Linked DNA regions of Arabidopsis thaliana. The protein of the gene in region 1 interacts with the protein of each later gene in a pairwise test. Each region holds a gene or a part of one and is shown in the gene's direction. Other genes may lie near its edges. The genes, in order: GIP1, bZIP16 and GBF1.

Region 1 (5,500 bases):
CAAGACTACCAAATGATAAATCATTCTTGTGCCAGTGAGAAACAAACTCCAAGCCCAAATATGCTAAAGTCTACATAACACAATCTAAGTTATAGAGATAAGACAACACTTAAATTAGGTAAACACACAACTAAAAGATGACTAATAAAAGCTTTTTGATGCTCTTCCTGTCCTTAGCAACCCTTCCTGATGTTGGCGCTACATGATAACTCTAGAATGCACCTAGAGCAATTGGAACAATCTAGAGGAACCTGTGAGAGAAGCTTCTATAGCTCCAACTGATTGCTATTACCTCGACCCTACCTTGCATACGGATGGTATCGACTACTGCTACTATAACCCCTCCCATATGGACCACCTGCTCCTTCATAACTGCCACCTGGGCCACCAGATTCATATGCACCGCCGTAACCAGGCCCACCATATCCCCCATAGCCTTCCCCTCCTCCACGAGGATATCCCAAATAGGCTCCTTCTCCTCCACGGCCATATCCCTCACCACCAAACCCACTCCCATAGGGTCCAAAACGACTAGAATAGCCAAGGGGTGGTTCATTCCGGTAACCTCCTAAACTACCACCCCCATAATTATTATAACCTCCTCCAAATTCAGGGCCTACACTGCCACGACCATACCCATATCCCCCAGCATATCTACTAGCAGGACCTCCATGTGACCTAATGGGACCTGGAGGATGACCATACCCTCCATCAAAACCTCCGTAAGGTCCACCATAACTTGCATAACTATCGTTAGAAGAACGACCTCTAGGGTGACTACCGTAAGAAGGAGGTGAACGGTTTAGAGATTTCTTTGGTTCAGCTTTCTTGATCTCCACCTACAACAAAGCAACTTAATTAACCTAGCTATGCTAAGGACCCAAACTATAGCAGGGATTTCCTATCTTACTGTGACAAGCTCCTTACATTTGGTAAGCTAGTGGGTAGAATTCTAACTAAGTTAAACGTGTATAATGAAAGGAACAAGGAGAAAATATCAAATTGAAACCAAGATAAATATGTCATCATGAACCAAAATTCTAATCCCCATTTGTACAAGCTTACCTGAGTGTCTGCCATATCGATCATGTTTCCTTTGGACAATAATTCATCTACGACTTCTTCGCTATCAAAAATTACAAAACCAAAACCTCTGGACCTGTTTGTTTCATGGTCTCGAATAACCTGGTGCTCCACCACGTTCCCATACTTGGCAAAGAAGTCCTTAAGTTCATCTGATCAACAGAAAAAGAAACCAACTTCAATAAGGACAGGAAACCAGCATTCTCATGGAAAGCAAAAAAATATCATGCCAAGAGGGAGGTCTACCTTCTGTAACCGTTGAGGGTATACCACCAACGAAAATCTTCTTTGTTTTGATGTCCTTTGACTGATTGCCACCAGCACCTTTCGGAATAGTCCTTTTGATCTCAACCTGTTCCATCAAAACAAGGAAAAAAGTATTGATCAAGACCCAACACCCTACTAAAAATGAACACTATAAGCTAGTGAAGGAAGAAAAGAGAAGTGGCCGACCTGTTTGCCATTGATGACATGAGTATCTTCGATAACTTTGTCAACAACAGAAGGGTCAGCGAAGGTGATGAAACCGAAACCCCTAGGTTGTCCAGTATGTCGATCTCGCATAATGACAGAATCTGTAATCTCCCCGTACTTGCCAAAGTGCTTATTGAACACAGCTGCAATCAAAACCAAAGTGAGCAAGTAGAATCAACATTCCAACAGGTCTAACATCAGAAACACACACAAGAATCCATAACATAACAAAACTTAGAAACGCAATTTCTAGAACAAAACAAGAGGAAGAAACTTACTATTAGTCGTGTCTTTGTGCAATCCTCCAATGAATATTTTCCTGCAACACAAAAATTCCAAGCAAAACATAAATTAAACCTTAACCAACAATATAAAAAGAGTTACAAAGCCAACAGATTATGAGATATTTCCCTTAATCCTGTGGAATCAAACATGCAAGAGGTAGGAGAAGTAAACGTACCCAGGACTAGCGCCATCGCCGGACTGGAAATTATCATTACGAGATCTGGAACCCATCGCAGCTCCTAAATTCAGTTTTCGATTGAGCTAAAGGATCGAGAGAGACACCGAAAGCTAGGGTTTTGATAAGATCTGATGTCTCTTCATCTAATTAGAGGAGATAGCTAAATCGTGTAATATATATATATTCTTAAATTTGGACATCGACTTGTGGAAACAAAACAAAGTTAATATTTTTTTACACAGCTGTCTATTTTTCCTATTCTTGTAAAAAGACAAAAAAAAAAAAAGTAAATTGTTGACAGTGGGATTTGAACCCACGCCCTTTCGGACCAGAACCTTAATCTGGCGCCTTAGACCAACTCGGCCATATCAACTTTGTTGTCTCTCCTTCCATTAAACGCGTACAAAACAATCAAATAATGAGGAGGAAATCGATAAACAGTGACGTCAGCGTATAAATATACGTAGAGAGAGACATTAAGCGGTAGATTGTACGGAAATAAATAATAGTACTCAATCAAATAATGAGGAGGAAATTGATAAACAGTGACGTCAGCGTATAAATATACGTAGAGAGAGACATTAAGCGGTAGATTGTACGGAAATAAATAATAGTACTATATACGAAGTCTTTATGTTCAACCCATATTTCCTCTCTCCTCCTCCCTCCGCTTCTCTTTCTCTCTGTAACCAACATGAGCAGGATCAGCGGCGATGGCGGCTCTAGGGTTTCTATTCCGGCTGATCTGCTTCAAACCATTCAAAACATCAGAGAGGTTACCGGTAAACAACATTCCGACGAGGATATCTTCTCTGTCTTTAAGGAGTGTTTCAGTGATCCACATGAGACCACTCAGAAGCTTCTCTATTTAGGTTGTTTTACTGAGAAAGCTTCAGCATTTGTTTTTGTTTTAGTGTTTTTACTTCCTTTTTGTTGTATTGAGCGTGTGCTTCTCCTAGGGTTTTGTTTTGGATTTTGCTATTTAATGCCCTTTGTCGATTTTGGTCTTGTCTTAGAATCTGTGTGTTATGCTTAGAATCTTATGTTTTGTTTATTTAGATTTCTAATTGGTATAATATGTCTGGGGATGTTCAAATAAGGAATCTTTTTTACTGAAATGGAATATGTAGAATTTGGGTTCATGACTAAGAAACTGTCGTTTTAAATCTTTACCAATCTAGCTGGAATGTGGAAAGGGAATTTCTGTTTAGCTTTGATTGAGATTGGGCATCTGGGTTAAGTTTTGATTCTGTCTACTGTTTCAAGATCAACATAATCATGTACTTTGATAGCAGACATGTACTCATATATTATTACTGATCTTTCAGATACATTTCATGAGGTGAGAAGCAAACGGGAGAGAAAGAAAGAGGTAGCTTTCCTATGTTCTTTTGAATCCTTACTTTGCATTTTAAGTGTGGTCTTGAGTTCTCTGTTTAGCTTACATCATCTCGTTTCTCTTATGCCTTTATGTGTATTACCTGTTGTAGAATTTAGTGCCAAATACACAAGGAAGGGGCCGGACTGGACGGAAGAACTTTGCTTCAAGTTACACAGGTCATTGTGGTTTATGTTCTTTTACTTCTAAACTTGTGTTCTATATTTCCTTCCTTGATTCAAGCTCTTTGTTGATTCAGATGCCAGTAATGGAAGAAGTGCAGCTTTTAAAAAGCAGAGTGGAGCTAATCACATAATAGGAGGTTCTGGAACTGCTTCGTCTGCTCCTAACAATGCAAGAAACGACACAAAACCTTCTTCCATAATGTATCCATACTTTTAATTCTGTCTATGTCTTTAATTCCCTCTTTGGATATGGGCTTCCTAACGCATTCTATTCTTTTTCAGGGCCCCGAACCCTATAAGTCTTCCAAGTGGAATCAGTAACCAGAAAATTCAAGATGCTATCATATCCCCTGTGGACAAGGTGGACACAGAGGAACAGCCTCTCTCCAAGGCTACTTCTTCTTCTAAGGATGTTGTTGAGCCGGATAAGTCTAAAGAAAGTAGTGTATCAGTGGCTGTATCAGATTCTGTTGTAGAAAACGATACTCAATATGCTGTAGTTGAAACTTTTCAGATCCCACAACAGTCCGAGCGAGGTATAAATTATACCATATAATTACTTGCCTGCTAATGTTGCTTTAAGTGCATTCTGTATTCTGTTAAGTTGTTCCTGAGTTTGATTACAGCCTCTTATGTGATTCGACGTATGGCTTTATTTGGAACAGTCATTAAGAGTGAGGTTGCAGCCAGTAAATGCAAGAATGAGTCGCTTCTCAAGTCGGATGTTGGTGAACGGCCGCACGTAACATTTCCTGTCCACATTCAGGTTGCCAAAATGCTGGAAAATGGTCTGACATTTGGGAGCTTCGATTCTAATTTTGTGAGAGAGGCATCTTCTGACAAGTTTACTATTGGGTGTGATGACTCCAATATTGAGTCTTCTCATGGGACAGCCGCATCAGCTAGGTTGGTGACTAATAGCTACTTTGAGTAAATCTTACAGTGTTACTTGCTTCAATATTCTCATGAATTGATCTAGAGTCTCAGATGAATGAGTTTCTGATATGAATACCTTTATATGAAACTTGGTTTGCAGGAAAGATATATCAACTTTTTCTCAGGATAAGAATCATGAGATTTCAAATTCAGCAGCTCAGAACGAGTTAACATTGCAGCCAGATCAAACTGTTCTCCCTGAAGAAGGTTCAGAAGGAGATAAAGTAAAGAACGAGGTTTTACCAATCACAGACACTCATCAGGTTGGTTATTATCAAGAAGCCCCACACAATGTCTTTTTAGTCTTGTGCATTCATTGTCAGCATCAGGCCAACCGCGTGGTTTTTCTAGCCAGGAAATATGAACACAATGCTTAATCACTGTCTTTTATATTTTGTTGATAATTGCAGGCTGCAAAGTGTGATGCTCCACCTATCTCCTATCCTGATCAGTATTCCTTAGCAGCCGCTCAACAGGCAATGCACCTTTATAGGCAACAATACTCTCTTAACTATTTCCCTTATGGTCCATATTTCCCCCCTTATTATATGCCGCAACCATACATTCACCAGTACTTGAGCCCAAATGGGTTCCAACAACAGTCTTACTTACCACCCGGAGATGATGCTCCAGCACCTCCAGGGGCTGAACTACCTCTCACTCACATCAAACCCGGAAGCGACATTGGAAACTCTCCACCTACCACGATTCCATTCTCATATACTTCATACGCCTTCAACCACATCCCATCAGCAGCCACCATAAATGCTACTCACAAGGAAGAAAAGAAGGAAAACATGTACACAACTGGACCACTGGTTAGTTTTTCTCTGACTCTCCCCACTGTCATTGCATGTTATGCTATAGTTTTTTAACACGGCTCCATGTAGCAGAGTCTAGCCAATCTGCAGGCCAGTCCCATGTACAACTTATCCCTTCAAGGTCAGCCTATAGCTTTCCCAACCATGCAGGCTGGGATCC
Region 2 (5,500 bases), on another chromosome or scaffold:
TTCTTCTCTGAAGACCTGGATTTGTCTCTGAGTAGACTGCCCAAACCGAGCCTTTCTTTGGATATATTTGGTATATTTCTCGTGCAGCCCTTTCGCAGTTGACAAGGTGAGAGAATGGTTTCACTTGTTCTATCAAAGCTTTCTCTGAAACCCGGAACCTACCACAAGGCATATGAGAAGAACTAATCTTCATCCAAGAGATTAGTTTCTCGCTCTCAAAATCCAACCAGCTGATCCATACCTTAAAAGGATTCAAAGAGACTACTTCACTAACTAAACAGTAACTCCGAGGCATTTTGTCATCACCACCATCATATATCGCCCAAATCTGCCCTTTCTTGAAGCTCCTCGGCATCCGGTCCTTATCAAAATCATACAGTTCAAAATCCTCGTCTTCCATATACATTTCTTGGCTTAACTTACCACGATCCCTCTTCCTATCAACCCGAGGCACGTATTCTAAATCCACTATCTCAGTTAAATCCTTGTGGTTCGCCATCTTCTTCTTCTTTATATTCTTCCTATTCTTTAAAACTTCTTGTTTATTATTCACTGCGTTAGTACTCATCTCCCTTAACGTTTCAGTCATGGAGGCATCAGCTAAAGATCTCTTCTGCGTTTCCCTTCCCATGTTTTCTTCTCCACTGCTATCTTTCTCAGTGATCTTCGAATTCACCTTCGACTTATTTCTCTTTATCACCGCTTGCATTTCTGCCAAAGTCATCATCCCTTCATCCTCTTCATCCGACCCCTCAAATACATTAATAGCTTCTGCTGCTTCCTGACTCATCTCCCCTGTCTCAACTTCTTTTATCAGACTTTCACCATCGCTATCAACAGGCCTCTTCCTCCTACTATATGTTATGATCTTGGAAGTACAAGCTCCATTTTCTCTACCCTCTTCTTCCTTCTCAACTTCCTTCGCCTCAAAACTATTCTTGCAAGTAGGGCACATCAAATTTTGTCCTAAATACTTCCTATCAAACTTATGCACCGACCTACAACCCGAACAAACCGCCGAAAACGTTGACGTTTCATCACCACCAGAACCACCGCTAACCATTTCCCCCTGAATCCTAATCCTCAACTTCATATCATACTCAGTCCTCCTAACCTTATCAGAGAAAACCCTAAAGGCCTCATTCAAAAGTTTGAACCCCTCCTCACACCCCACATACGGATTCTTATCAGGATGCAACACCAAAGCTAGCTTCCTATACTGTTGTTTTATGGTATTAATATGAGAAAAAGGCTCTACCTTTAGAACCTTGTACCATTCCGGAAAACCTCCGGCGACTGTGGCGGCGGAGCTGATGATCTCGAAAGCGGTGACCATGGCGGATAAACCTTCCGTGTTCGGAGACAAGCTGAGAGCTTTCCGCGCGTGAGTTAAGGCCGACATCAAATCACCGCAATTGAAACTCGATTCCGCTAGTGCTTTGTGGTGTATGGATTCCTTTTCTACTTCTGAGTCTGATCCAGAAGCCATTGCTGTGTAGCCGGAGACGCCTTCAAAAACTTCAACTTTGAAAGAGAGGGCTAAAAAGAGAGAGAGAGCTCTGCTTTTTCTATTCCCTTGAATTCACTCACCCTAGTCTTTTTATTATTTTCTTTATCACCCTCTTATTTATTAAGAATCTCTTTTCTGCCCAATAGTTTTTTTTGTTAGTGTTCCTAACTATTTTGTCATAAAGTCATTTATTGTTTTTGATGACATGTAACATTACCAATGAGTCAATGCACTATCATTCTATCAATGTGTATTGTATACATAAACCTATTCATAACATTTAAAATATACTTTTGCAAAGACACTTTTTCCATATATTTATGTCAATTTTGATTTTAAAGATCTTCCTTTTCAATTGGGGAGAAACTTTTTTCCTTATCAAATTGTGACATTTTGGGTGGGTTACAAATTATTGTAAGGCTTTAAATGGGTAAAGTTCATAAATAAGTTATAAAGAAGGGCTTTTAATAAAAATACTTAAATTTGGGCAAAGAAGCAATTTTTATTCCTCGTGAACTCCACGCCCCCTTTCTTCTCCGTCAGATAACAAAAAACAAATCAAGCAAATTTATTTATCTTGGTCAAGAGACATTGATTCTCTTAAATTTCTGCAAAATTAAGCTCAGAGATTCACACCGCATCTGAAATTGTGCTCAGAGGGGTTCCAAATATTACCAGTCGTTAGGTATTTCTGTTCACATCTCTCCAAGTTTGTATCTTTGGGGTTAGATTTTAGCGTTTCTCTTCTGAATTCGATTGAGTTTTCTAGGGCTTTTCGAGGGTTTCTATATATACTTCTCGGTTTTGTGTTATTGTGTTTCTCCGGTCCGACATTGTTATTTACCTGTTTCTGCATCTTGAGAAAAAGACTAGACCTTTAAGCTGTTGTTGGATTATCAATATATATATATATATATATATATAGCTGTATTGGTCAACGATCAATAGGAGAAGTTTGGAACGAAATCTCTAACATCTTATTAGCTGAAATGTTGAATTGTTGGATGTGTTGAGTTTATGCATGAGTAGATCTCGTAGTGAGTTAGCTTATAGCTGACTTCGTCTTGCAGGAAGCAATCACGAGTTGTTTTAGGAATTAGTGAACGTGATAATGGCTAGCAATGAGATGGAAAAATCGAGTAAAGAGAAGGAACCTAAAACACCTCCTCCTTCTTCTACTGCCCCTCCCTCTTCACAGGTTTGTGTTTGCCCTTCTCTGCTTCCAATTTTCTTAAGAGGACCATAATGTAAAAAGGGAAAACAAATCCCATGATTTAAGCTATTAGAAGCCGAATTAGAAGTGAGATACTAGAAAGGAAAATAAAAATATTCTAGATTTCAGCTAATTGTGATTTTGTATACCTATCAGTGATATGCTTTAGTTGGAATATTTCTGTGTTTGTAGGAACCTTCATCGGCTGTGAGTGCTGGCATGGCTACTCCAGATTGGTCTGGTTTTCAGGTTAGGACAGATTCCTCCATCTATGGATCTGCGCTCTCTTTTCTTGTTGCATTTGATCTTTACGGCTTTCTTTTCGACAGGCATATTCTCCTATGCCGCCGCCTCATGGTTATGTGGCATCTAGTCCCCAACCTCACCCTTATATGTGGGGAGTTCAGGTGAACTGGCTTACGCTTTATCGCTTTTTACTGTGATGTCTATCGGTGTTCAGAGTGCTGGAAAATTGCAACATTCTTATTGACTTATAACGAATTCGTTCAGCTGTCTTTCATCATATCTTTGATTGATTACTGAATGAGACATTAAATTTTGCAGCATATGATGCCTCCTTATGGAACTCCGCCTCATCCTTATGTTGCAATGTATCCCCCAGGTGGCATGTACGCACATCCTTCAATGCCTCCGGTACTGCCAACTGTAGTAGATTCAATTGCAGTGAACATAAATTAAAATGTAGCTGTTAATTATATCTTTAATATGTTCCATTCTGTATCAGGGTTCTTATCCCTATAGCCCTTATGCTATGCCTTCTCCAAATGGAATGACTGAAGTTTCTGTGAGTTAGCGTCCCATCATACTTCATTCGTTCTTTCTCAAACGGTCTTTGCTACCTTTGCTTATTGTAGGAACATAATTGAGAGATGATTTTATGCAGGGCAATACTACAGGCGGCACTGATGGTGATGCTAAACAATCTGAAGTGAAGGAAAAATTGCCCATCAAAAGATCAAGAGGAAGCTTGGGAAGTTTGAACATGATTACAGGAAAGAACAATGAACCTGGGAAAAACTCAGGAGCATCAGCTAATGGAGCTTACTCCAAAAGGCATGTAACACGCTTGTTTTTATCCGGTCTATGTGACGTGGCATGTATGCATGGTTGTTATCTTGGAAATATTATTATGTTTGGACTAGGACCCCTTTTGGACTTATGCTACTTCATTAGATAATATTCATTCTATTATTGCTCTGAGATTGTCAGAATTGTTTGGTTACAGTGGGGAGAGTGCTTCTGATGGTTCAAGTGAAGGAAGTGATGGGAACTCTCAAAATGTAAGTTTCGGATAGCTATCATCAGCCTTTTCATTTGAATTATATCTTTGTTGGTATGCATTCATTCTGGCAACCATGTTGTGATGAGGCGCTGTTTCATGGGGAACACCTAGTTTGTTTGCTAAGAATCTAGCATGAATCTGAATTTGGATTGACCTATTCAGATCTGTCAGTCCCTTGGAATTTCTCATTTAAATTTTATGAGTGTTGCTAACACTTGGAATCTGCACACTGGAACACATAACCTTTGCGTTCCATATGTCGCCTCATCAAACGTTTTTGTTGGATCTTTGGGCTCGAAAAGTCTTAATGTTATTTCCGTCTTTCTATGGGAGTGAGGAGTTCTTACAGTAATTATGACTGATTCTGATTTGCTTGCAATTCATGTAGGATTCGGGATCTGGACTAGATGGAAAGGATGGTTGGTTTACGATCTTTTCTTTTTCCTTTCGTTACTATCATGCGGCTAACACCGTGAAAGCTACTTATCAGAGAGTTCTTTATTGTTTTTCCATTCAGCTGAAGCAGCATCAGAGAATGGTGGTTCTGCCAATGGTCCGCAAAATGGAAGTGCTGGTACACCTATTCTACCGGTGAGCCAGACCGTACCAATCATGCCAATGACAGCTGCAGGTGTTCCTGGCCCACCAACAAATTTAAATATTGGGATGGATTACTGGGGTGCTCCAACTTCAGCTGGTATCCCTGGAATGCATGGGAAAGTATCTACACCAGTTCCTGGAGTTGTTGCTCCAGGCTCGCGAGATGGTGGCCATTCACAACCCTGGTTACAGGTGTGCCCACCTTTCTTAGGCAGATTTAAATCGCCTTTTATCCTCAAACTCAGATTTGTTTGTCTTGCAATTAGGACGATAGAGAACTTAAGCGACAGAGACGGAAGCAGTCCAATAGGGAGTCTGCTCGAAGATCAAGGTTGCGTAAACAGGTACTAAACATCCATTTAGATCACCTCTAGCACGCCCATGTGAGCAAATTATTGACCCGGTGTTTGTGATTTAGGCCGAATGTGATGAGCTGGCCCAACGCGCTGAGGTGTTGAACGAAGAAAACACAAATCTCAGAGCAGAAATCAACAAGCTCAAAAGCCAATGCGAAGAGCTTACCACCGAGAACACCTCTCTCAAGGTAAAAAAAAAGTAATCTTTCAAAATTAGTTTTAGAGCCAGCCAACGAAACAGTTACCAACTTTGTTCTTGCAGGACCAACTTTCATTATTCCCTCCACTTGAAGGCATAAGCATGGACAATGACCACCAAGAACCAGACACCAATCAAACAGGTGCCGCAGAGAGAAAGGTTGATTCATACAAAGACTCAACGTGAGAAGACATAGAGCAAAACCAATTCCTAACACAGGTATAAAAAAGTAGCAGCAGCAGCAACAACAACACTCGGCGGTTCTTTGCTAACAGATGGTTTGTAGGATTTTAGGCATCAGAGATCGATTGGTTCCGAA
Region 3 (5,500 bases), on another chromosome or scaffold:
TCAATGGGCTCAGTTCAACAGTAGGCCCACTGACTAAAAACACCATTTAAGTGTAATCAGATGCTTGCATCGGTGATTTAAGCTACGTAATGATTAATTTTACAATAATTTTCCTGAACAGGTTATTCAGCTCAAAGAACAACTCTATGATGCAGAGAGGGAAATCCAAAGATTAGCAGAAAGAGTAGAAGGAGGCTCAAGCAACAGTCCAATTTCGTCTTCCGTTTCCGTCGAAGCTAATGAAACGCCATTTTTTGGAGACTATAAAGTCGGAGATGATGGCGATGACTATGATCACTTGTTTTATCCGGTGCCGGAAAATAGTTACATCGATGAAGCGGAATGGATGAGTCTATACATATAAATTACTAGCTTAATGTAATATTATATCAAGTTAGTATCGTGAATTAGGGAAGCATATTTCTAAGTAAATTTACTAGATTATATAACTGTTGCATTTCTAATGTACAAATATATTGACGATGAGTTTCTCGCTAATGTAATTTGGCTATCTTTATGAAAGCAACAATATAAAATTGCTTAAGTAGTTAAAAAAAATTAGCTACTTTGTTGAATTAAATTTCTAAGAAAAATATATATGAATTCGTTAGGATTTAATTATAATAAGTAAACTGTAATTTGGTTTCACTAACGAAAAAAAAAGTGCGGCCATAAAAGCAGTATCGGCTGCAAGATTCGAAAAACCTTTACTTTTAAAATTGTAGAAGACAAAGGACTAGATGACATGCACATGAAGATAAGATGAGCAAATTTGTTAAAACTTTTTATCTCCATGGATAAGAGTTTGCCCGATTTATACAAAAGAGAAGTTCGGATAAAATATAACTAATTCTGGTAAAACATTTTGAGTCAACTTTTATAGATCGGTTGACAACTAATGTGTAAGCTTATATTATGGTTTATACATAATATATTCATCACGTAATCATTATTACTTATTAGTGATCTGATCGCATAATATAAAATGAGAGTATTAGTCATCAAAAGTTACCACGTATCATGCGTTTCTCAAAATGTTAGAAAAAACACATCGTTTTCTAATCAACGGAAAAATCAAAGTGTCTTTGGACAAGATCAGATGTTCTTTTGATTAAAACCTCTTCCAGTAATTGTAAACTGTACAAGTGCATTTTCTGAAAATCAAAGTTTTCTTGGACATGACTAGAGATTCTTTGATTAGAGTCTTCTGGATTTTGATTGACGTTAAGATATTTTTGATTTAGACATATACTAAATCCTAATTAATTAAAATTATAGATCGAAAACATTATGGTCTCGTAAAGTTTAGAAACTATGGACCCACGAAGAAGTGTTTGGCGAATAAGCGAAGGATTTAATTTAGTTTTGGGTATATAGAAAACGAAGTGTAAAGAAAACGTAACGTTATGGCTCTTTCTAAATTGGGTTTGTTTTAAGTACTCGTAACCACTTTCAACACATTCACTGTATATAGTGTGTTGTATTATATTGTTTGAGTCGTCATATGATGAGATTGTATATATATAAAGAAAAGTCTTGGACCTTTTGATATGGTGATCCATCACATCAACTACGTAATGGTAATACTAATGCTCTACGATAGATGCTATATTTACCTAAGAAAACCGATTTTTTAAGAATGCACTGAATTTTGCTATCAATCAGTTAACTATTGATAAGTCATATTTAGATTTTTATTTTGTTTCATTTGTAAACAGAAAATCACAAGACGTTGGAGACATCTTGGCTTGCTCCTGGCACCTATAAAAAAATGTATGTTTGCAATAATATTAGGGACTTATTAAAGTAGGCCCAATGGGCTTAAGATTCCACCAAATTAGCTTGACAAACACTAAGGGCCTGTCTCGGATATTAGTTGTTTTTAATTAGCAATTGAATAAACTGATGCACGTTGACTCTCTTTTTTTCGTCGTCATGTTTGATTTTTTTTTTTTTTTGTCGTCATGTTTGATTAGTTCTTAAATCTTAACGATAAGTTAAATTATCGATTTAATATCAACAACTGTAGCAAATTTTAATATTCTACGTTAAAAAACTTACTACTATTTTTTTTTTTTTTTTCAGTAAAATGACACAAACATGCAAACCTAGAAAATAGCTTTGACTTGGTTAGTTTCTTGTTAAAGAAAAAGATTACAAACAATTAACATAATATATTATGCACTACAACGGGAAACAAAATTAAGAAAAAAGACTCTTTATCTACAAAAAAAAATCATATAAATGTAAAAAGGGTTTTATCATTGACAATTTGACAGTTATCAATTTACATCAAAATATATTTTAAATGTTTTTAATATTCATGTACTTAATTAGATCGCTAATAATGATAATAAATTGAATATCCTTTTTGATTGTAATAAATGAGTAGATGAGTCACACCAACTGTAGCTACCGTGTCAAAACCTTATCCAGTAACACGTGTACAGCTGGACCTCTCATTGTCGCACGTGTCAGATCATCAAACCCTAAAATTAAAATCCCAAAGAAAAAAAAAACTTTCCTCTTTCTTCGCATTCTTCTCCTCCTATCGGACTTTGCCACACCAGATCGGAAAATCCCAATCCTCTTTTCCTTTGTTTTTTTTGCTATCTTCAATCAAAAACTCTCCGACAGATTCAATGAAGCAGCAAAAGAGATAAAACCCTAACAAAAGTAAACAATCGGAGTTTTAATCTTCTTCTTCTTCGGAGCCGGAGTTTTGTCTGATCTGTCGGAGAGGACGTGTCGGCATCTATTAAAATCCTAGCTGGACTTCCACATCACTTTACTCAATTAGAAGCTGGTCTGTTTTCTCTGTTTTTATTCTAACTTTTTCTCTCGTTTAATTTCTCATATGCAAACAAACACCTTTGCATGTAACTGATTCTGTTGTACTTGAATTGAATTCTTTAATCAATTATGCAAACAGAGCTTGTTTTGGAGATGATGATTCACAAGTATGAGATTGTCTTTCTGCTTAAGAATTCGTTGAGTGTTGGTTTCTGAAGTTTGAATTGTGTGTGTGTGTGTGATTTAAAATACTGATGCATGGTTCGAAGCTTAGAGATTTTAGATTGCTATAAATGAAAGCAAAAGAACAGTGCCCTTACTCTTGTTCTGTTTTAAAGTCATTGATTGTTATAATTGAAAGCAAAAGATTTTAGTTTTGATGTTTTATGATTACTATTTATCGTTAAGATTTTTGATTTTTGTTTATAGTTTTGAGTAACACAAGTAAGTAGTAAGCTTATAAAACAATGGGAACGAGCGAAGACAAGATGCCATTTAAGACTACCAAACCAACATCTTCGGCTCAGGTTAATCCTTCTCTTCTCCTTTCTTTTCAACATCTTTGTTCTGTTTTATATTTTAAGGTGTTTGATGTATCTACCTCTCTCTTTTTCAGGAAGTTCCTCCCACACCGTATCCAGATTGGCAAAATTCAATGCAGGTTCGTGTTACATGTACAACTTTGGTCACTATTAGTTTTTATAGTGTAAGTGAATACTTTCTCGAAAACACCGGGACTGCTGAACATAATAGTATATGCTTATTTCTTTAGGCTTATTATGGCGGAGGAGGTACTCCAAATCCTTTTTTCCCATCCCCAGTTGGATCTCCTAGTCCTCACCCCTATATGTGGGGTGCTCAAGTAAGTTTTGTATCGTATAGTTGTTGATATGATTCTATGAAAAAGAAGTTTGCATCTTATTCTTTGGATAACACTAAATGAGTTTCTCTGTTTTGCATTACTTTCAGCACCATATGATGCCGCCTTATGGCACCCCAGTTCCGTACCCAGCAATGTATCCCCCGGGGGCAGTCTATGCTCATCCTAGCATGCCCATGGTAATCTCCATACCATTAATACAACATTAGCTATCGTTGAAAGCTTTTTGCTCTGTTACATGGCAATGCATAGATAAATGAGAAAGTAAAAAACTTGCTCGACATTTCTTTTGTTGTAGCCTCCTAATTCTGGTCCTACCAACAAGGAGCCTGCGAAGGACCAAGCTTCTGGCAAGAAGTCAAAGGGGAACTCGAAAAAAAAGGCTGAAGGAGGTGATAAAGCGCTCTCTGGTTCAGGGAACGATGGTGCCTCTCATAGGTGATTTTTATAACACTCTACTCAACGTGGTGCTTGTTCAGTTTGATTGCAGTGTCATATGTAATTATGATTTTTCCGTTGTGCAGTGATGAAAGTGTCACAGCGGGTTCATCTGATGAAAATGATGAGAATGCCAATCAACAGGTACTGTTATGTGTTTGAAGTGTTCTCTGTTGCTACAATACTTTGTGATGTGCTTCATTGAGATTCATGTTAATGTAGGAACAGGGTTCAATTCGAAAGCCAAGCTTTGGACAGATGCTTGCTGACGGTATGCTTTTGACCGCTGCAGTTTTCATGGTTTTTCTTTGCATGTATTTTCCATGTTTCTTGACTTGGTAAAGTTTCCTTGAACAGCAAGTTCTCAAAGTACGACTGGTGAAATCCAAGGTTCGGTGCCCATGAAGCCGGTAGCCCCGGGGACTAATCTGAATATCGGGATGGACTTATGGTCTTCCCAAGCTGGTGTACCAGTGAAGGTGTGACCAACTCCTCATTTCACCCTGCAAGGTTGCTTTTCCGAATTCGTTACATTCTTCCTTACAAAATCCTCTGATTACTCAACAGGATGAACGAGAGCTCAAGCGGCAGAAGAGGAAACAATCTAACCGTGAATCCGCTAGGCGGTCTAGATTGCGGAAGCAGGTAATATGCATTTGTGTGTTAGTATCATTTTACTCTGTCTGCTTCTTGTAATTTACTCATTCCATAATAAACCATTTCGAATAGGCCGAATGCGAACAACTTCAACAAAGAGTAGAGAGTTTGTCGAACGAGAATCAAAGCCTGAGAGATGAGCTACAGAGACTCTCAAGCGAATGTGATAAGCTCAAGTCTGAGAACAACTCAATCCAGGTGACAAACTCTTTATCCGGAAAAATTTCTGCGAAAATCATACTCTTTCCAACTTTTATCTTATTTCTATCGGCTTGCATTTACACTAGAGTCATGGAATAATGCAGGATGAGTTGCAGAGAGTACTTGGAGCAGAGGCTGTAGCTAATCTAGAACAGAATGCTGCTGGGTCGAAAGATGGTGAAGGAACAAATTAACACTTAGGAAAATTGGAACTTTACAACGGATTATTGGGATTTTTCAACACCGGATAAAAAAAACTGAGTCCAAAGTCATTTGAGATTACGTAACTATACAATCGTTTGACATTTTTGTGTAATAGAGATTTGACCTACAAGACTGTAGAAGCTGCAAAAGCTACGATTACACTTTGTTTTATTAGTCTTCGTGATTGGAATCGGATTCTGAATCCGAGTTTGTTTCTGAAACGGGGCTACCATTTGCTATTTCTCCTAGTCGTGGTGCATCCTCGTTGACTGTTGGAACAACACAGCAAGTACAAATAAAATAGTCAGTTCAATACCCTGATAGCAA

Evidence for each region.
Region 2: the proteins of GIP1 (region 1) and bZIP16 interact in a two-hybrid assay, tested with the Arabidopsis thaliana proteins (one study listed by BioGRID).
Region 3: the proteins of GIP1 (region 1) and GBF1 interact in a two-hybrid assay, tested with the Arabidopsis thaliana proteins (one study listed by BioGRID).

Annotation. Positions count from the first base shown.
Region 1 is NC_003074.8:4,251,421-4,256,920, reverse strand, and holds the start of GIP1 (GBF-interacting protein 1), read left to right. Parts: upstream 1-2,642; 5' UTR 2,643-2,714; coding exon 2,715-2,892; intron 2,893-3,348; coding exon 3,349-3,392; intron 3,393-3,510; coding exon 3,511-3,577; intron 3,578-3,657; coding exon 3,658-3,784; intron 3,785-3,865; coding exon 3,866-4,119; intron 4,120-4,248; coding exon 4,249-4,489; intron 4,490-4,619; coding exon 4,620-4,782; intron 4,783-4,929; coding exon 4,930-5,337; intron 5,338-5,412; coding exon 5,413-5,500. Other genes in the region: AT3G13224 (RNA-binding (RRM/RBD/RNP motifs) family protein), read right to left, coding at 300-839, 1,066-1,235, 1,330-1,435, 1,537-1,700, 1,836-1,876, 2,018-2,073. UniProt on the Arabidopsis thaliana protein: Plant specific protein that enhances G-box-binding factor (GBF) DNA binding activity. May function as a nuclear chaperone or lever and regulate the multimeric state of GBFs. May contribute to bZIP-mediated gene regulation.
Region 2 is NC_003071.7:14,923,147-14,928,646, reverse strand, and holds the start of bZIP16 (basic region/leucine zipper transcription factor 16), read left to right. Parts: upstream 1-2,037; 5' UTR 2,038-2,195; intron 2,196-2,580; 5' UTR 2,581-2,621; coding exon 2,622-2,708; intron 2,709-2,915; coding exon 2,916-2,972; intron 2,973-3,052; coding exon 3,053-3,130; intron 3,131-3,287; coding exon 3,288-3,377; intron 3,378-3,468; coding exon 3,469-3,528; intron 3,529-3,627; coding exon 3,628-3,797; intron 3,798-3,969; coding exon 3,970-4,024; intron 4,025-4,414; coding exon 4,415-4,445; intron 4,446-4,543; coding exon 4,544-4,818; intron 4,819-4,892; coding exon 4,893-4,970; intron 4,971-5,044; coding exon 5,045-5,170; intron 5,171-5,244; coding exon 5,245-5,367; 3' UTR 5,368-5,500. Other genes in the region: AT2G35540 (DNAJ heat shock N-terminal domain-containing protein), read right to left, coding at 1-1,489. UniProt on the Arabidopsis thaliana protein: Transcriptional activator that binds to the G-box motif (5'-CACGTG-3') and other cis-acting elements with 5'-ACGT-3' core, such as Hex, C-box and as-1 motifs.
Region 3 is NC_003075.7:17,309,513-17,315,012, reverse strand, and holds GBF1 (G-box binding factor 1), read left to right. Parts: upstream 1-2,524; 5' UTR 2,525-2,806; exon of another isoform or gene 2,807-3,222; 5' UTR 3,223-3,260; coding exon 3,261-3,320; intron 3,321-3,409; coding exon 3,410-3,454; intron 3,455-3,565; coding exon 3,566-3,655; intron 3,656-3,762; coding exon 3,763-3,852; intron 3,853-3,971; coding exon 3,972-4,111; intron 4,112-4,197; coding exon 4,198-4,255; intron 4,256-4,333; coding exon 4,334-4,382; intron 4,383-4,468; coding exon 4,469-4,590; intron 4,591-4,678; coding exon 4,679-4,756; intron 4,757-4,840; coding exon 4,841-4,966; intron 4,967-5,073; coding exon 5,074-5,163; 3' UTR 5,164-5,344; downstream 5,345-5,500. Other genes in the region: HB40 (homeobox protein 40), read left to right, coding at 122-364; HVA22K (HVA22-like protein K), read right to left, coding at 5,345-5,442. UniProt on the Arabidopsis thaliana protein: Binds to the G-box motif (5'-CCACGTGG-3') of the rbcS-1A gene promoter. G-box and G-box-like motifs are cis-acting elements defined in promoters of certain plant genes which are regulated by such diverse stimuli as light-induction or hormone control.